2 linked regions of the Ovis aries genome follow. The protein of the gene in region 2 purifies or fractionates together with the protein of the main gene of each other region. This does not show direct contact. Links are inferred from orthologs where the notes say so. Each region holds a gene or a part of one and is shown on either strand. Other genes may lie near its edges.

The links.
Region 1: the proteins of RBM8A (region 2) and NCBP3 purify together in Homo sapiens (co-immunoprecipitation; 3 studies listed by BioGRID and IntAct, with this or other methods). This does not show direct contact. The link is inferred for Ovis aries from reciprocal best matches to the Homo sapiens genes RBM8A and NCBP3.

What each region holds. Positions count from the first base shown.
Region 1 is NC_056064.1:24,357,868-24,367,572, reverse strand, and holds part of NCBP3 (nuclear cap-binding protein subunit 3), read left to right. Parts: coding exon 1-19; intron 20-111; exon of another isoform or gene 112-317; intron 318-1,967; coding exon 1,968-2,033; intron 2,034-3,908; coding exon 3,909-4,014; intron 4,015-9,705. UniProt on the Homo sapiens protein: Associates with NCBP1/CBP80 to form an alternative cap-binding complex (CBC) which plays a key role in mRNA export. NCBP3 serves as adapter protein linking the capped RNAs (m7GpppG-capped RNA) to NCBP1/CBP80.
Region 2 is NC_056054.1:99,248,730-99,259,187, forward strand, and holds RBM8A (RNA-binding protein 8A), read right to left. Parts: upstream 5,583-10,458; 5' UTR 5,525-5,582; coding exon of another isoform or gene 5,503-5,524; coding exon 5,421-5,502; intron 5,176-5,420; coding exon 5,116-5,175; intron 4,991-5,115; coding exon 4,913-4,990; intron 4,727-4,912; coding exon 4,590-4,726; intron 4,318-4,589; coding exon 4,181-4,317; intron 4,069-4,180; coding exon 4,023-4,068; 3' UTR 1,795-4,022; downstream 1-1,794.

The DNA of each region.
Region 1 (9,705 bases), on a different chromosome or scaffold from region 2:
GCTGAAAGAACTGATCCCGGTACGGGCGGGGGGCGGGGGCGAGGAGGAGGTCGCAGAGCGAGTGTCCCGCGCTCGAGCGAGCCGGAAGGGGAGGCGGCCGGGGCGGAGGGGAAGTCTGGGGAGGGGGGCACCGGGGCGAGCGCCCGGGGGGCGGGGGCGCCAGACTGGAGCAGAGTCGGAGGAGCGAGAGAAAGGACGCCCGGGCGCCCGGAAATGGGTGTTAAGGGGGCTTGAGGAGGAGGGGTCGGAGAAATTGGGGTGGTAGCTGAGGACACCCCTTTCGCTGCCCCTCCGAGCCGCTCTGTGCAAGAGGACAAGTGAGGAGGGTTAGGGCTTGTCGGGGGGGTGCGGTTTGAGATAAAGAGGGAGCCCCCCCCGGGCGGGGACACAACCTGGAGCGGCCCAGAGGAACTGTCGGGGAGCGGGGCGCGGGCATCCTGCTCCGGTTTAGCTGGTGTTTGTTAACCAGAGCACCCGCGGTTTCCCTCGGGAGGGCTGGGCTGGTCAGCTGCAGAAACTCAGTGTTTCTGTTGTGACCTGAGGGTCATCTCGTCCCCGCGCGCCTCCACTGCTACACCGTGCCTCCAGCATCTCACCCTTCGGGGAATCAGAACATCAGCGAGCCAGCAGTGGTCCTTGGTCCCTCTCTTCTGTCACAGTAGGATGAGGAGAGGTGTTTTGCTTGTGGTTTGGTGGCCTGATGTTCGTAGGGCTGGTCTCAGGCCTGCGTGGCTCTTCTTGTGTATTGGTACTTAATTTCTCATCTGACCTGGTCCACTTTTTTGCCACATGTCTGCAAGTGTTGATTTTAAGCTGAAATCATGGAAGAAGGTTTTTAAAAAATGTAGGAGCACTACAGATTGTAAATTATAATGACTCTGTCAACAACAGTTAACATAGTGGTTTACATGTTATCATTTAAATATCAAGGAAGTTGAGAAGTAGATGTTGTCATCCCTTCATTCATTCCGTTGGACGTGAGCTGTTGTATCCCTAACACTTTGTGGCAGGCACAGTCCTAGCCACTTGATCAAGATCAAGGTCAGACTCTGTCCTGGAGTTTATGTTCCAGTTGGGGGCCACAAGTTAACCAATAATTTCCCAAAGTGGTGAATGCTGTGGAGAGAATAAAACACGTTAATGGGGTGGAAGAGTGCAGAGGGAAGCTGTGGAGAGCAGGAAGCAGAATGCCACAGGATCACCAGGAAAGTCCTCTGAGATAGTGACATTTCAGCTGGACCCTAAGTGACAGAAAGGAGCCAGCCATGTGCAGATCTGGAAGAGTTTGTTCCCAGCAGGGGCAACTTAGTAAACCCAGAGGCTCTGAGATGGGAACAAGATTGTTTTATTGGAGGAACAGAAAGTTCAGTAGCACAAGTGGGAGAGCAGTAAAAGAGGTCAGAAAGGTAGGCAGATGCCACAGAAGAAACCTAGGTCCAGAGAAGCCAGGGGGCTTGTACAGTGTCTTGTAACCAGCGAAGCTTAGAGCTGTGATTTGAGTCCCCCGGCTGCCGAGTCTCATCCTGTTTCACTGCACAGTGTAGTGTTTTCCCCAGAAGGTCGAGGTGAGCCTGGACTTTCTGCATTTCAGTGAAGACTTGTGCCCCATCTGGTGGCCTGGCACAATGAATTTGTCTAGTCTGAGCCGGGGAGATGAGTGACTGTACCTCATCGTGGATATTTCTCATGAATGCCTTTGGATTTTCATTTACACGGATACCTTCAGTAGATGGAATTACTTTAGGTTGTGGACAGGCAGGCTCTGATTTAGAAAAAGCTTCTTGGTAGAGTGGTTGATTGCTACCATGGAGTCACTGGGACAGGCTTCCTCATAATAAAGGGTTGTCAGGGTAGGGAACAGATTGCTGAAAAGACTATCCAGAAGGAATGGGTTGTCAGGCTGTTGTTTATCGTGTGCTTGTCCTCAGTTGCCTGTTAGCATTTCTCACCCATCCCCTTGGTGTTAGGACACAAGCAGAAGATATGAAAACAAGGCTGGCAGCTTCATCACTGGAATTGATGTCACCTCCAAGGTAAGATACACCATGATTCATTTATTCATTTTGAGAAGCGGTTGAACTTAATGAGCAAGTCCCTAGGACTTGTAGAACAGCAGTTATTCTTTACCACCTTTTTTTGTTGTTGGATTAAGCCTTTTTAAGTTTATATTTTGTGTTTCACAATGATGCCTGAGAACATTCAGGCAGCATTTGTGTTTTCTTGAATCCATGAGAAGATAAAATCACTAGATGCCTGTGCTTAACCATGTCCAAGAAAAAGTTCTGTGTGTTCCTTTTACATACATGTTTATTTGGCTGTGTCACCTCTTAGTTGTGGCACGTGGGATCTTCTGTTGCCGAGCACAGGCTTAGTTGCCCCGCAGCATGTGGGATCTTAGTTCCCTGGCCAGGAGTAGAACCTGGGTCCCCTGCATTGGCAGGTGGATGTCCCTATCCATTTTTTTAAAAAATGTGTAAACTGTTTCCACTTTAAATGAAGCAAAGCATAAAAGTGTCTGGCACATAGTAGGCCTTTAGTAAATGTCTTTATTCCTCACTGATTGAGGCCTAGAAAAATAGCCTTTCATGACTATGTGGCTAAACTTTGAAGGCCAAGTGGACTGAATTGTTTTCACTGCCTGGGAGTATTGCCTTTTATCTGGTGATAGCTGTTACTAGATTACCAGCTTCATTGCAGCTCTTCACAGAACCAGACATTATTTTCCTTACAATCAGTACTTATTTGTTGCTTTAATTGGTGTTGATATTCAGCTTAAACATTCTTTCTGATTTTAATGTGTGCCATTTAAAGAGTTGAATTAAAACTCTGAATAAATAAAACGGTGTTACTATATTGGATGTATGAAAGCAAAAATAAAAATAAGTATGTCATGCTTATTTTTTTGTGTTTTATCTGGGTCTCAATCTGTCTCAGATTGCTTAAAGGCAAAAAGAAAGAACTGATCATCTTTTTTGACAGGAAAATAGAATGAAGTGAAGGTGTTTTCTTACTGAAACTGAAAAAGCAGTATGCAGTCCTGTTCTTAAGCCTACACAATTTACCATTATTTGAAACAAATATATAGTGGAAAGGGTGGTAGCCAAGAATTGGTACTTTGGTTCTTACCAAAGGAAGGTAAACTAGTTGTTTCCAGTGGGAAGACTTCAGTGGAGAAAATTAACATAACTATTGGGAAATAACAGAAGTGTTGCTGCCTTACCAATCCCCAGAAGCTTTCTATAGTCAGACCTTCAATTAGTGTGGCAAAGTCAATATACAATTAGTGAAGGTTCCAAAGAGCTATCAGAAACCCACAGTTGGACCTGGGTATATTTTAGCTCTTGGGGAAAAAAAAAATTAGGAAGCTGATTATTTGGTTTTTCAGAAAGCATCAGTGCTTCTTTTCACTTCAAGATGAAAACTGGCAATTCTGTGGACACAAGTTTAGAATAGAGGAGAGAGTTTCTTGGCTTCAGTGTTATTTTTAAACACAAAAAAAGCTTTAGGGAGTGGACTGCTCAGGCAGACATAACGTGATAGGTGTGATTACCATGCACACAGACGATGTGAAATGGGGGCGGTGGTGGGGCTTCTAGAAATAGCGCTGAGAAGATCTGCCCCTTACCAGCTGAAGTGCCCCTGGCAAACATTTTAGCTTTTTTGTGCCCCGGTTTCTGCACAGATACATTGATAGGCACTGAGTCGTCCTCGAGATGATGACAGATTGCAGCACTGCTAGCGCCCACTCTGCCAGCCATTGCCAATACCCTGTTCATTGCAACAATGAGGCAAGGCACAGTGTTGTTCATACCTTCTGAGTTGCTTGTCAAGCCAGTGTATCACGTGATGTTTGTGATTTAACTCTCCTCCACATTTCACTTCTTTGGCTTTTTTTCTGCACCTTCTAGGAAGCGATTGAAAAGAAGGAGCAGCGAGCCAAGCGCTTCCATTTTCGATCAGAAGTAAATCTTGCCCAAAGAAATGTAGCCTTGGACCGAGACATGATGAAGAAAGGTACAGGGTGTTTGGGGGGAGTTTTCCGCAGTTTCCTTGCCACGGCCTTGTGCTTCTGGCCTCACCTCACGTGGAACTTGTGAATTCGCCGCTTCTGAGGTGGCCTGTTAGCGATGAGCTGCGTTAGCTGTGTCTCAGTGTTTTGTGTATGTGTGTGTGTGTGTGTATTCATTTGGCTGTGTCAGAACTTCAGGATACTGTCTAAGGAGCCCCAGAGAACCTCATGGAGTTGGTGGCAGATCGGCGATTAGAACTGTGGCTCTGTGGGACTCTTACTCATTTTCTGCTTTATTGTAGAAGTGTTCACTTTTCTTTGCCTTTAAATGTAGCAGGAGTGTATCGCAGTGAGACTCTTTTAGAGGAGTCAGATTGGTGAGGGATACCGTTAATACTTCTGTTGATCCAGGTTTGTGATTTTACTTTATTTTTGTGTTTTATTAAGGTTAAGTATTTTGCTTCCTGAAACTCACCCTGAATTCTTAAATATGATAACCTACCCCAGATTTTGAAGACAGTTTATAAATAGAAGGGAAAATTATTGCTTCCCTTTTCGTGAGTTCACAGCCATGTTTATTATCCCGTAAATGCAAATGATCTGCCTTTGTTGTATTTGCAAATTGGAGACTTGGCGAAGGGCTTTAATAGGCAGCCATCTGAAGGCACGTTAAAGGTCTGTGCTCTGCTGTATGAGTTTCTCTAGGTTTGCCTATTTGATAAAAACATGTTGAATGAATGGAAGAGTAGCTACTATTTGTCGGGAACTTGCTCTCTTATGAGGCGCTGTGTTAGCACATTACATATTTGTTTCGTACTCATTTCTCACAACAACCCCACGAGGAATATATTTTTATCCCTAGTTTACAAAGAAGGAAACAGGCTCAAAGAAATTAAATAAATGCGCAGGTTTACACAACTAGTAAAAGTGGAGTCAGGATTAGAACTCAGATTTATCTGACCCTAAAGCCTTGCTTTTAACTGTTTGCTCTGTTGCCTTACAATGTATGACATGATAGCAGAGACCCAGGCCGCCTCAGTCCTTCCCAGTGGTCAGAGTAGCTCAACTCTGGATGCTACTTCACTGTTTTTATTCTGCATCGTGTTCAATTTGGAAACATGACCTTGCTTGCCTCGCAGGCTAGGTTTCCAGGCATCTGCTCGAGTGGTTGTCTGTTTCAGGAAAAGTCCTGTGAAGGCCAGGGCCAGCTGTGCAGCTGGTCGTTCGTGTGCCCGCACACTGGACCCACACAGACGTCTGAGGCCTCTCCCACAGCCCCACCTTGGACGCACTGTGGTTTCACACCGCGCCTGTTTACTTCTAGTCCTGGGCGCGTTCCATGTGGCATCTTGCCTCTGATCTCGTTCATGCCTGTCACCCTGCTGATTCGTCTTTCCTTGTCCCACACTTTGTCTGGTTCAGATGTCACGCCCTCTGCAGCATCCCTAATTACCCTCGTCAGTCTCTCTTCCCACCTGTGCTGGGGCTCTTCTGAGCCCGGAGCCCTCCTGGGATCCAGTCTCAGTTCCTTAGTGAATGTGGGGGAGTTAGTGAACCTTTTTAGGTTTCATTTTCTTTGTTCATAAAATGGGAATATGATACCCTCCTGAATAGGACCTCTTCTTTTGGGGTTAAATTTTAATTAAAAAAAAAATGCTTTTTGAAAAACAGTCTTGATCTCATGATTCTGAAGATACTCATAAAAGACCGTAGATCTCCCTAAACTATCAGTGGCTCATTACAACCTGTTTTTGGCCCAGAAGGCAGCATGGCTTCAGACTGTGTTCTTGAACTCCAGATAACCCTGCTGCCTTTCACAGATCGATTTAGAGTAGGGGGTAGGTTTGGATAAATCTCAGAGTTACTATTTTTTCATCTCCCCTGGTAATTCTGTTGTACAGTCGGGGTTAACTGTACCCTAAGAGCGTGGATTCTGAAGCCTGACTGTCTATATTCAAATCTTGACTTGTCACCTTCTAACTGTGATCTTAGGCAAGTTATTTAGCCTCTAAGAACCTCAGTATCTTCATCTGGAAAGTCAGGTTAACTTAGTTCTTACAGGGTTGTTGGGAGGTTCTAACAAAATGTTAGGATTCCTAGAGTGGTGCCTGGCACATAGTAAATGTTAGTTATTATTATTATCTGGCATTCTCCATCTTCCAGACAGCCATTTAAGTGGCCCAGCCTCTTGTGAGAATGGGGACATTGGAATAAACATCTCGATTCCTGCAGCCACAGTAAGGTACCGGGTTATTTCTTCTTATTAACATCAACAGTGATGAAATATACCATTCTATAAGTGCTCCCCACGTGGCAGTCACTCTGCTGTGTGCTTAATGTACCCTTTCAGCAACCCCATTGCAGGGAAAGTTTTATCATTTCTGTTTTACTGGTGGGGAAAGGAAGATGCTGAGAAGTTGAGAAACTTGCCCAAAGTCCCACAGGGAGTAAGTAGCAAGGGTGACTTAGAAGGCTGGTCTGACTGAAGCCTGTGTTCCTGACGTCTCTGCTCGTTTCAGGGATGCAGTGTGCTAGACCAGTCTGTATTGAATGACCTGCTACTCTTGAGTGACTGGGTGTTAAGCAGCTTGGATCTTTTTATCTCCAAGGTCAATGCCCTCATGGTTGGAAGGGACCTTAAGAGTCATCTGGGTCCCATTTCTGGCCCTGTGCTGCAGGCCTTTAGGCAAAGTTCCCAACAGTCTGTGGCCTCTGCCTGAACAGTTCTTAGTGGTGGCATGAGAGCTATTTATGAAGCGGTCAGTCTTGTTTTTGGATACATCTTCATGTTGAAAACAAATTGCTTTCTAGTAATTTCTATCTGTTAGTTACTGCATAACTCTTAGAAGAACATTAAGTCATTTCCTCGTTCACACAGTAACTCTGCAGGTGAAGGAATGGACAGCCTGTGCCCTGGACTCTCTCAAGTGACAAGGCTTTGTGGTCTCCCTCCTTTAGAGCCTGCTCAGTTTCTTGCTGTGCTTCACCAGGCGAGGTGCAGATTCCAGATTTGCTTGGATTTGTGGAGTGCTTGGCAGGACTCTGACCACGGTGTCTGTCCTGGCCGCTTCGTAGTAGTCACCTTCTAGCCAACCAGAGCACCAGTTCTTTCCCCCAGGAACTGCACCTGTCGAAAGAGTCTTTCTTATTGTGTCCTTTAAAAACTTGCCTTTTTATTTGTCCTTATTAAGTTCCATCGTGATTTCAAGACTCCGTTTCCACCTGTGGAGTTACGTTCGTTTTAATTCTGCCCTTCAACATTTTAGCTACGCTCCCCCCTTTGGTATGGCTTCTGCATGTTCATCCAGTTGTTGGTAGACGTCTAACAGGATAATCCCATGTCATGCCGTGACACACAGATCCATGAATGTTAGTCTTATTCTGTTCTCTGGCCCGTCTCCTGTTTTATTGTCGTGGGGATCTAGCTTACGTGCCTTAATAAACTTGAGGTAGAATACCATCTGTGGTCTTCTTTGAATTTCTTGGCCTGCTAATCCAGTCAAAAAAGAGAAGAGGTCAGCTGGCTTGCTGCTTGGCCTATCATTTCCTATGGGAAAGACTTGGTTTCTTAAGGGATCAGAGATTCTGTCTAAGCTGTATTTTAAACATTTCTGAGAATGACAGTCTTTTTGATCTGTTTGGGAATTTCTCTTTTCTTCTTTTATGAAAGTCAGTATGGGATCAGTCCTTAAAGTTTAAGGTACCTTGCTCCTTCCCTGCAGTAATCTTAGAGATTATTACCCGATTGTGAAATCACTGCTTCGTGTTTTAGTCAGTATAATAGGGTATAACTCTAAACTAGATGGTTTGAATCTGTTAAAACTATTCCTTGGGGACTTCCCTGTCAGTCCAGCGATTAAGACTGTGTTGCCAGTGCAGGGAGCATGGGTTCGATCCCTCCTCAGGGAACTAAGATCCCATATGCCACAGGACAAGGCCAAAAGATTAAAAAAAAAAAAAAACTATTTCTAAAGCCCTTGTTACCTGTCTTGGGTTTTGGTTCTTACTTAATGATAGGTGCTGCTGTCCGTTAGTACTGTAGCAAAATTGATCAACAGTCCTGCCCTTTTTCCTGCATCATCTTCCCAAAGCAGTGTTGCTCCAAACACTTGTAAATAAAACCAACCATCAGCATTTTTGTTGAGCCTGTTGGCTCTGGACTATAACCTTTTCTTCTTTAGATGTTAAACAGACAGTTCATGTCCACCAAAAAACATTTGGAGAGTGAAGTAAGAAGAAAGGTTGCGCACAGTCCGCCGCCCAAACCCAGTCACTGTCAGCATTTTGCGGGTTTCCTTCTAATCTCTTCTGAGTGTGGACTTTATTTTTGTTTCCCCTTGTAGTCACGCTGCTTTCTTTCTCTTCACGTGACAGTCTGTCATCGGCACTTTGTGTTGCTTCAGAGCCTGACACAGTTTTTCAGATTCTTACATCTATTCTCTTATATTTATTAATTTGCCCTTTATCCATCTCCCATATGTGTTCTTTGGCAAGTCATGCTCAGCTAAGCTTTGCTGCTTTCTCTTTTCTTGGGATCACCTCTCATACTCTGAGTTACTGTATTTAGTGTCTTCCAGGTTTTTTAATCCTTCTGATCTTAGGCTTGGACTGACTACTGCTTCTTTGGATTTTCAGAAATCTGCTTTCCTAAAAACTTGAGTTTTGTGTACTGTGCTTAGTTGCTCAGTCATGTCTGACTCTTTGTGACCCCACGGACTGTAGCCTGCCAGGCTCTTTTGTCCATGGGAATTCCCCAGGCAAGAATACTGGGTGGGTTGCCACATGTCCTCCTCCAAGGGATCTTCCCAACCCAGGGATCGAATTCAGGACTCCCGCACTGCAGGCAGATTCTTGACTGTCTGAGCCACCGTAGAGCCCTTTGTGTACCGCTGCCTGTCAGTAATTGGGATCTTCCCTGTTGGAAGGGAAGATGGTTCCCTTACCCCCTTGCTTGTAGTCAGCACTTGGTAAACACCCAGTTCTCATTCCCCAGTTCATCTGTTTACTGCCACCTCAGCAGTTAGTCCTTGCTCATCAGCTGGGCCTAAATCTAGGTGCTGTCTTTGTTGCTTTGTTTTATTTTAAGCAGTGACATTGTCAGCAAGGTGACGAAGTGTTGACATTCTGCTTTGGCAGGCTTCCATCGTATCTTGAGCTTGTCTCACATATGATTAAATCCTTCTTTGTATCAGCATCTTCAAGATTTTTTTCTCTTGCTCCTTAGTCTGTTTCCTCTTCCTTCACCAGGAGCTCTCCTTCTTGTTTGTTACCTTCTTCAGAACCAGCTCTTTACTTCTCATAGGATTTTTTTCTTCCAAAATCATGGCACTTAGTTTGAAGAACTGAGAAAGTTCCCTGGGCTACCCCTTCAGTTTCCCACCCTGCATGTTAGAGTCACTCTGCGTGGCCAGTGTGGCTTCCATCTCATTTGGGTCTCTGCTTGTGTTTCTTTCTTTTTTTTTTTTTTAATATTTATTTATGTATTTGTTTGACTATTCCAGGTGTTAGTTGCACCATGCAAACTCTTACTGAGGCATGTCGGATCTAATTCCCTGACCAGGGATCAGTCCTTCCCCCCCGCATTGGGAGTGTGGAGTCTTAGCTCCTGGATCACCAGAGAAGCCCTTCTGCTCATTGTTGTACTGCTGGGCACTAATAAGGATTAGTGCTAGGATTCATAAATCTTGATGTCTCTG
Region 2 (10,458 bases):
TAGGCAATTACAATATAATGTCCAGTTAAGTGTTATGCTAAAGCTAAGCATAGGAGCTAAGGAACAATGAGGGGTGTCTGACCCACTTTTGGTCATTCAGGGAAAGCTTCCTGACTTCCCAGAGATATCAAAATTTCATTCTTGAAAGATAGGTGTTAGGACAAAGCAGGAGGAATGCTGGAGAAGGTGGAGGGTAGAAAATCTCAAAAGTAATCACAGTTAAAGTTGAGGGCTAGAAAATGGCAAGTAATGAGCCTGGAGGGGAAGGAAGAGCCAACTTCACAAATATTAAGCTTGTACTTTATCCTAAGGGCAGTGGGGAAACACTAAAGTAAAAGGCAGAGGGTAACATAATCAGATTTGTATTTTTTACTCTAGCTTTATTGTGTCAAAACTGAAACAAAAAGGTGCATCTGAACTTGAGTACCAATTAATCAAATCTCAGTATTGAAAACAAACTATAAATCTAGAAGAAGAAAAAAAAAAGCTAAATATGGAGCAATTCCTTCAAAACAAAACCACTAACACCATCTGGGGAAAGGGTGTAAAGCAGCATCTCTGAGCCTATGGTTGGGATTATGTCAGGGAGAGGGGTTAACATTTCAGTCTCTGGAATAATGCATTGTAGTCACATTTAAGATTGGATTCTTAAATCCTCAAATATTAGAAATGTAACTACCAAAATTAGTCTGACTGCAGTTCTAAGACAAACAAAAAATACTGCTTCCAACAGTATGTTGTAAACAGGACCCCTTTGCCTGTTGCCTCAGTGCAAAAGAAATTAATTAGGTTTATATGAAATTAATTTTAGAAGTGGACTGGGAATTAGAATTAGGACTGTTTTTGTTGTTTGTATTAATTTGCTCTGTTTTTTCTGAGTCTAGGCTCTACCACTAACTAACTGGATAACTTTGGCTAAATCACTTGAAATGCACAGACCACAAGATTATGGAATAGATGAATTTCATCCTTCCTTGGAGCCTGACAGTCCAACAATGCAATTTCTATTTGCTTCAATTGCAAACTGATGGTAACATGATTCAGGTGCAAAAGGTGTTATTTTGGGTTCCAAATTATCAACCTCTTTAAAAAAAAATTATCAACCTCTTGTATAAATTCTGCAGTGCCCATATGTTGCATTTAAAATGTCAATTAAAAATTGTTAGCATGGTCAAGGGAATATTGGTGTAGGTAGAAATTATTTTCATAGACTCATTTCCAAGTATCAGAAGTAAAGGTTTCTATAGTAGGTAGTAAAATATGAAATGCATATAAAATAGTCAAGAGGCTGGACTAAAATATAAGTCCCTGAACCTTGCCTGTTTTTAAACCTTCTTCTCACAAGTCAGATGTTTTCTAGGCATAGTGCCAAGCCATGCACACACACCACCCTCACCACACCACTCTCCCTGCCTGCTACGAAGCCCCACCACCAAAAGAAAAAAAAACAAAAACCCATCCAGGAATACATGGACTCAAGATAGGGGTAAAGGAAAGACCACTCCCCAAGTAGAACAGCCTGGTCATAACTCCAAGCAGTTCATAAAATCATGTCTCCGACTAATACTATTCACTTTTCCTAAAAGTCCCTCATGCCAGCTGAAATCCCTTTCTGAAAGGCCTCATATCTAGGAATTTGATACCTACTAAGTTTGCCTTTTATCAAACTAATACTGACTCAATCTACCTTACCTGAACTAAGGTACAAACCCTGAAGCTCTCAATTGAAAAATGCTCTTTACTGATTCAAACCAAAAACTAGTTTACCAAAAAAAGGAGGGGCAGCCAACAGCATTTGGAAAATGTTAAATTTTATTAATGTTATTTTACCATTATAATTATTGTACATAGGACTATAACTAAAGTCACTTTAGAGAGTGACTGCAAAATAGCCTGCAACTCTAGCACCTCCCATTTTATACAAGATTTATTTTTCCCACAGAATTAATCACAGACACATCAGGAAAATAATTTCAGCTAAAAACGGTGAGGGAAAAAAAATGTTGGTGAGGTGGTAGAGATATCCTCTTATAAATGGTAGATAGTACTCAAAAGACAGGATTCTTTTAAGTCCTGGATTTAATAAGCATAGCCTAAGAGGAAAATAGGGATTTTCAAGATACATTTCTAACCTTTTAAATATGACACCACAGATGTACCATTACTCAGCACTGAAGGGAATTAAGAATGGATTGAGATTATACACTGTATTAGCTCCCAAATTTCTTAACAATCACACACACAAAAACGAATGAATGAATCAGGAGGAGATAGTGTTAAATCGGTAGGTAGCTTGGCAGGGGAGAAGGGAGACCAGTTCTAATAGTCCTCGACTCCAATCTAGCTGTTCCTGTTCCACACTGTCCAAGTCTCTATGGCAAGAGATCATCTATAACCTCTTCACCTTCTGCTGCCTCTTTCTGAGGCCACTGACTGCAATGACCATCTGCTATAGCCGCATTGTCTGCAGTGTGTCCACTCCTCAGACAAGGAAGGGGAACCACAGTGAGACTCCAACCCCCAGGCCCTAACCCATACCCTAAAACTATTGTCTAGCCTCATTAATACGATAGCTATCTATCAAACCAAGGAGCTTGCCCAGTGGCTTAGTGGTAAATAATCTGCCTGCACTGCAGAACACTCAAGTTCAATCCCTGGGTTGGGAAGATCGCCTGGAAAAGGAAATGGCAGCCCATTCCAGTATTCTTGACTGGGAAATCCCATGGACAGAGGAGCCTGGTGGGTTTTAGCCTGTGGGGTCACAAAAGAATCCAATGCAACTTAGCGACTAACAACAAACTGTATCTCTAGCAGCTAAAGCCACACTAACTTCATTGAATGCTTTCAATTCTAACCAGCCACTAGCCATCACTCTCTGAAGTTGAGTTAGCTAGGCAAGAATTAAGGAGAAGGGAGATCAGTATTTTCCTTTGCTCTTGGACACCAACACTTCAAACAGACTTTGTAGCTTCATGTACCACAGCACCTCAATTGAAACCTTTTTTCCAGCTTGTCTGTCATAATCTCTGATGGGAAGGGAGCATATAGTCCCAGGCTGGGAAGGGGAGGAGGGCTTGCAGCATTCTCTTATAGAGGGAAGAGCTCTATCTCACAATTTCTGCCTATCAATTTAGAAGCTAAGTGGTTCTGAATTCGAGTGTATTTTCTAAATTCCCAGCCCCTGCAGGTGAATTTGCCGTCTGCCGCTCCTTAGACAATCACTCCCATGTTCGTCATCGGGCCCTACTACTGGCCCTACTTGTCCTGCTGACCTTCATCTTCTGCTGGACACCTTACTACCTTCTGGGTCTTTGGTACTGGTTCTCTCCCACCATGCTAACTGAAGTGCCTCCTAGCTTCAGCCACATCCTTTTCCTCTTTGGCCTCCTCAGTGCTCCTCTGGATCCTCTCTTCTGTGGGGCCTTCACCTTTGGGCGCCAAAGACGGCATCAAGAACATAGTATAGACTCCTCCAGGGAAGGAGGTTCTGGAAGAGTGCCCCAACAGGAGATTCAAGCTCTGAGACAGATGGAAGTACAAACAAATGTAGCAACAAGAAAGGCAGGAGAGAAAAAAGAGACATCTCTATGATACCACTTGCTCAGGACAGCATATATAGGAACAGAATGAATGATTATTCCTTACTGTCATGAGAACATCTTACTTCTACCCTTGCTCTCTTAGCTTCAAAGAAAAAGAAATACTGAGCAGTGTCTCTACTTGACCCTGACACTGGAGACTGTATCTAACGTAGAAACTCACACAGAATTCAGTCCCTGGGAGAAATATCTTCACAGTGACCCATACTGTCTCACTGTAAATAGTACTCCAGAGCTTGCAATATTAGAAAAGGAAAGTAATTAGAAAACAAAAATTGTACATTTATTCATAATTCAAAAGAAACACTAAACAGTGTAACAGATTAAATATAAACACAGTGAGTTCCACCCCAGCTGTATTTCTCCAAGGTTGCATGGTCAAATGGAATCTCTGGAGAGAACACCTGAACAACAGAGGATGGGTCAGCGACGTCTCCGGTCTGGACTCCTGCTGCGTCTCCGACCACCTCTAGAAAGAAGGAAAAGGGGCAGGGTCCATGAGAGGAACATAATACTATGTCCTTATTCTGCTTTGCTCATATTCCTTCCACTAAGATAATGTTTTGCCCTCTGCACTTTACCTCCTCTTGCCCTTGGGTGGACCCCGAACAAAACACCAGTCCACGCTGATTGGCTGTCCCATCAAATCCTGGCCATTGAGTCCCTCCATAGCAGCCTGGGCCTCCTTGTATGTTTCATACTCAACTAGAGTATACCCCTAGAACAGGAAAAAAACAGATCATCAAAACTCCATCAAGCTCTTTTCTACTCAACTAGGAAAATCTATCAACCTTAAACAACAAATGCACGTCACATCCCTATTATACATACAACTTGTCTGTCTGTTTCTGCCTCTTTGCTATGTCTAACAATCAATTCCCAATCTCATTTTATTTCAACTCTTGGCCAACCACAGCCAACGTGGGAGAACTACCAATGCTGTCTAAGGGTTATGGATGAAGAGAAGCAATGGAGTATGGCTCAGGATACCTTTAGATATCCTGTACGTCTGTCCAGATTGAGGTGGATATTTTTTATTTCTCCATACTCTGCAAATTTATCATGGATGTCTTCTTCTGTGGCTTCCTCATGGACTCCAGTGACAAAGAGAATCCAACCTTCAACAGCTGTAGGTAGGGGAACAGAGGAAAGTTGTTTGAGCACAACAAACACTTCAGCGAGATCACATAAGTAGTGTGTGTGCAGGCTCCACAGAGATTGGTTAAGCGACCTCTGACTCCATGCCTACTGGGTTTTACTTCATTGGTCCCTAACTCTGTACAGACAGATCCCTACAGGTTCCATTTACTTACAGCGTTGTGGTCCGGGTTCATCGCCATCCTGCTCCACGCTGTCATAATCCTCACGCATCCGCGCTCGAGAACCCTCTTCTATTAGAAACACACAGCAGATCACCGGAAATCCCCCTTCTCCTACTGTTCACCGTAGGTCTGAATGGGGATTCCAAAACTCGTAGCTCTCTCCATTCGACCCCATTCCACCCACAAACACTCACCGGAGCCAAAGCCACGGCCCTTCCGTTTCTTCGCTTTTTCTTTCAGTTTGTGGATGCTCTCTGGAGCCCCAGAAGAAAAGGAATAAGTGAGAAAGGTAACAGTTGTTTACAATATTCTCTCTGCAAGACATTATCTGAAAGCAAACCCCACCACCTCCAGGCTGTCCCTCCCGGCCCGCCCCTCTTCCTCCCAAAGGGGGCGGAGTCTCCAACCAACAGAACCCGGTTCCCTGGCTCGTCCCTGGCTCGTCTCCTCCCTACTGGGGACAAAGATTATATTTTCCTAAAACGTCCTTCTCTCGCACCTTCCCCGCTTCCCGCAGCCGCCTCCACTGTCCTCACCGTCCCCATCCTCATCCATGGCGAAATCCTCGCCCCCAGCCTCATGAAGATCAAGTACGTCCGCCATCTTTCCTTCCCTCCAACTCTCGTCCGTGCCGCTCAGGCACTTGGCTCCTCGGGAAACTGTCGCGGAAGGAAAAGGTCATCAATCAAGTTGACCAATCAAAAACTAACACTAGGTCCCGCCCTCTGCGCGGTAAAAATACGCAATGGAGGCGGGCCTAGTTAGGGAAGATAACGGAAGTGTTACTGTAGCCATCTTGAGCGGGTCAAGAGCAGACCGCGGCGCCCGTGGGCGGCGAGGTAGGGGGTGGGTGGGGCTAGTGAGTTCCTCTTAACCAGAGCTTCGGACATGACTGAGCGCCTAACACTAAGCATCGAAAAGTAACTACTGACGTGAAAAGTGAAAGTGTTAGTCGCTAAGTCGTGTCACTTCTTTGCGATCCCATGGGCTGTAGCCCGCCAGGCTCCTCTGTCCATGGAGTTCTCCAGGCAAGAATACTGGAAGGGGTTGCCATTTCCTTGTGAAGCCCAGCCAAATTTTTATTAGCGGGTTGCTTTTCGTCTCTTTTCTTTCCATACCAGGAACTGGAAGCTGAAGAAAGTTTTTTCTCTAAAAACTTGCAGGCCTGTACTGTACCGAAGAGCAGCCGGATCTCTGATGGAAGCACTAAAAAAAAAAGTTAAGTCAGCAATGCTACCTCAAAAAGCTGCGTCTGGAACGTACTGTTCAGTTCAGTTCAGTTCAGTCGCTCAGTCGTGTCCGACTCTTTGCGACCCCATGAATCGCAGCACGCCAGGCCTCCGGGTCCATTACCAACTCCCGGAGTTAACTCAGACTCACGTCCATCGAGTCCGTGATGCCATCCAGCCATCTCATCCTCTCTTCCCCTTCTCCTCCTGCCCCCAATCCCTCCCAGCATCGGCTTTCTCTCAAGAAAATCAGCCGACCTGGTTTCCCGTGAAATACTATTGATGAGACACGTATCAACTTTTCTTTTTTTATTTAATAATGTCTCAGGAAATTCCCTGGCGGCTCCGCATTTTTACTTCGGGGGCCCCGTTCAGTTTATGGTGGGGGAACTAAAATCCTGCAAACCCGGGGTCACGCACCCGCCCCCCAAATTAAAAATAGTCTCTTAAATTCTACCCACCGCTTCTGGGAATTAAGAAAAAGTGATTTTAAAGAAAACAGAGGCTTTAGCTTCTTTGAGGATAGTACAGATATTTCACGTTTAAAAACCCAGGAGTTGAGGAAAAAGAATATTGCCCCCACATTCTGGAATCCGACATAGGCCTTAAAAAACAGTAGTGGATAAGTAGTCATTTATTAATTTTAAAATCAGTTGTGAATGCCTATATGTGTGTCTAATAGTAGAGGTGCTAGCAATACAAGGGGAAGTACAGCATCAACAATCACTTTATAATAATATTATGAAAGTGATCATTGCTATTACAAGGTACTACAGCAATACAAGTTTCTAATAGGACTGGAATTAAGGAGAGTGCATTTAAGGGAGGGCTTCCATTTAAACTGTGCTTGTAAGGCTGTTTTGCTTTCCAGGCAAAACAGCTGTATTGAAACTAAGATACATTAATCCATTCTCTACAGTACATAGTATGATCTTTAAAAAAAAAGTCACATCTCTACTGAAATCCCCCTTACTTATTTTTGCACTTAGAATAAAATTCCGACTCACAGCCTGATCTGCCTATGTCTCCAGACTGTTTCACCACCATTCTTCCCTCTCACCTATTACTTTACTATACTTTTCTCAACTATGTTTACTCCCTATACTCAATTGTGTTGTACACTTTCTCATCTCTGGACATTTTGTAACTTTCTGCCCCTGATGAGCTTCCTCCAGCTTTTCACATGGCTGGTTCAACCCCATCCTGTAGGTCTCCCTGAAATCCTGCTGTCACTCAAAGGAGTCTTCTCTATTCTATCCTTCACTCTTATTTCCTTCACAGAACTTAAAATCAAATCTTGAATTACTTTGTTTACTTTCTAGTTTGTTTACTGTCTTTCGCATTGGCAGAGATTCTTATTTACAACTATATCCTCAAAGTTCAGACCAGTGCCTGATCCATAGCAGACAATTGCTAAATACATATCCAATGAATATCAGGAGGGCAAGAAATTTTTTATGCCTGATGCTGTCTAATTAGAAAACAAAGTTGGAAATATAGTTTAGGGTCAAACTGTATGTCATGCTAAAAATTTGGAACTTACCCTATAGGCAAGAAATTTTTTTAATTCAATATTTTAGTATTCATAATTTTTAACATTTGCAAGTAGCCCTCATACTATTTTTGACTTTTTCCTTAAATAGACTGGCATTTTAAATTTATGTGCTCTGCTGTGCTTAGTTGCTCAGCCATGTCCACCTCTTTGCAACCCCATGGACTGTAGCCTGCCAGGCTCCTCTGTCCATGGAATTCTCCAGGCAAGAGTACTGGAGTGGGTTGCCATGCCCTCTTCCAGGGGATCTTCCCAACCCAGGAATTGAACCTGGGTCTTCCACATTGCAGGTAGGATTCTTTACCATTAAGCTATCAGGGAAGCCCCAAACAAATTTATACTGTTTAAATATCACTGCCATCAGTGGAGACCATATTTTTCTATTACAAATTCAGATAAAAGCATAACTAGTAAAAATGAAAAATGTTTGGCCATCTACCACCTAAAATCTTGTCAGATAATGCCAAGGGTTCACATATAAAACTTTGGGAAGTTCTGCTAAAGGTAAAGATAGCTAGATGATAGTTTAAGCAAGGGAGTGGTACAGTGATAAGTATTTTAGAAAGAAATCCGATAGTAATGTAGAGGACATGAAGAATGAAGGTAGAGATAATTGCAGTGGTCCAGCCCTGAGATGCTAAAGGAATGAACCAATTCAGTATATATGGACAAAACAGATTAGAAGTTTATATAGGGGTAAACTCAACAGTAAGTGATTGACTAGATGATGGCAAAGAGGAATTGAAGGATCTCAAGGAGAATTGAAGTTCTAGGTTAGATTCCTAGGCAGTAATTTCAGTAACGTGGGGAGTCAAAGAGGAGCATGTATGGAGAAATGGGTTTTATTTTAGGTAAGTAAGTTCAAAGAGCTTGTGTCATTCAGGTGGTAATGTGCAATGTGTGGAAATACAGATGTAAAAGCTCAAAAGAAGTTGGGGTGGAAGGAACAGGTTTGAGAACTGTGTGTATGATAGAGTTTAAGCCACCACAGTGGGTGTGACTGCTAGTGGAAAAGGGCAGAACTTGAGGAGAAAGGGTCAAGAACCAAATTCAGGCTCCTCAAATTTCTGGAGAAGGGGAGGCAGATGCCTTCTCCCAGCAGTACAATCTTATTTCTTCCACCCTAAAAATACTAAGAAAAGTTCTTTTTTGAACTTTTTTAAAGAGGGTCATTTTAGAACTTCTCTGATACATGGGTCTCAAGAAAGAGTCGATATGGCTCACTAGACAAAAATCTATTTTTAATTATATAAAATTATACATATAAAATACATAGAGAGTACTAAAAAGGTAAGTAAAAATTTAACACCAAAAGTGGACATATCAGGGAAGAATTTTTCTCCAAGTTCTTTGGGACCTTACTGGTTGGTATTTGAGAAAAATAATCAAGGAGATGCAAAGACAAGTTCTTTCCATAATTCACACCCCTTCCCAGAGAAATCAGCAAAGGAGAAATGAGGGTTTGTGATTTCTGGATTATAAACATAAATACAAACTGAATAGACACACCTATTATTTAAAAGCAGTGAGCCTCTGCTCCAACCTTACATGTGTTTCATGGAATACAGAGATGGGGCTTGGAGAATTCAAGGAAATCCCTTTCAAGTACTAATACAACTGTTGTTAGATTCCTTACCTCTGATCCCATATATACTGGTCACTAAGATGATTTCAAAAGCAAGAAAGCAGACTTTCATCTTTTCCCTATCTGATCCAAATGTGCAAATTGTAGCCTGTTTCCTAACCTATTTCTAAAAGCAAAGTGTATAACTGTTAAACGGAAAGTGTAATTACAGGAATATTAAATTTCCCAAACTCAGTTTAGGAAGTGCACTGAGCTATAGTAAAGTATAAAGGTGATTACAGAAACAAGAAGAAAATATATCTTAGAGAGATGTACAAAAAATTCTCCCAAAGGGGAATGCTTTAGCTATACTCCAGATCATCTTTCTCCTATTTTACCCAGAAAAGAGGTAAGGGAAGAGAATAGTATTCATATTAAAAACATAAGTAGCTGATCATTGATTCTTTTTCCCTTCCTGAAATTTCTCATGGTTCCTATTAGGAAGTGCCATTATGCCAAAGTATCTTCTAATTTTCCTGATCAGCTCATGCTCTAATAATCATTGTGGAGGAAAAGGAAAGAAAAGAGGAACACCAATGTGAATCTAGTTATATACATCTAAGGTCATAAACAGTAGCCACTTCATGGGAGTAGGAGGAACATAGCCCTCACCAAATTGGACAGATGTTTCCAAAAACCAAAATGATAGGAGGAGGTTTTTAAGAAAGGGAAATATGTTTTACCTTCTACCAATCTTTGCAGCAGAAAGATCTATAGACAGGGTTTAACTAAGCTTGGTGAGCAGGGGAGGAGTGAAAAGAGAATATTGAAAGATAACTTCAACCCTTACCCATTCAATAGATTCTGGTATGGTATGGCATCTATGCCCCAGAAGCAAAACAGGTGATAAACCCCTGCAGGCTGTGTTTATAATTCCTCTCTTCTTCCTGGGAAGTTTCTCAGCAATGATTTTAAAATTAAGAAACCACCAGCTCTCCACTTCCCTTTCAAATAATAAAGTGAGGAAGCCCTAAAATGAAGTACTGTTTGGAGGCAGAAGAGAAGTAAGGTGGTAGAGTGGTGTGGTGTAGGTTATGAAATAACCTAGTTGCTGAGGGAACAACTTGGTACCAAGTAGGCCCAGCTCAAGATGAAACCAAAGCCAAAGCTTTCATTTGCATGCTCTGTTTGG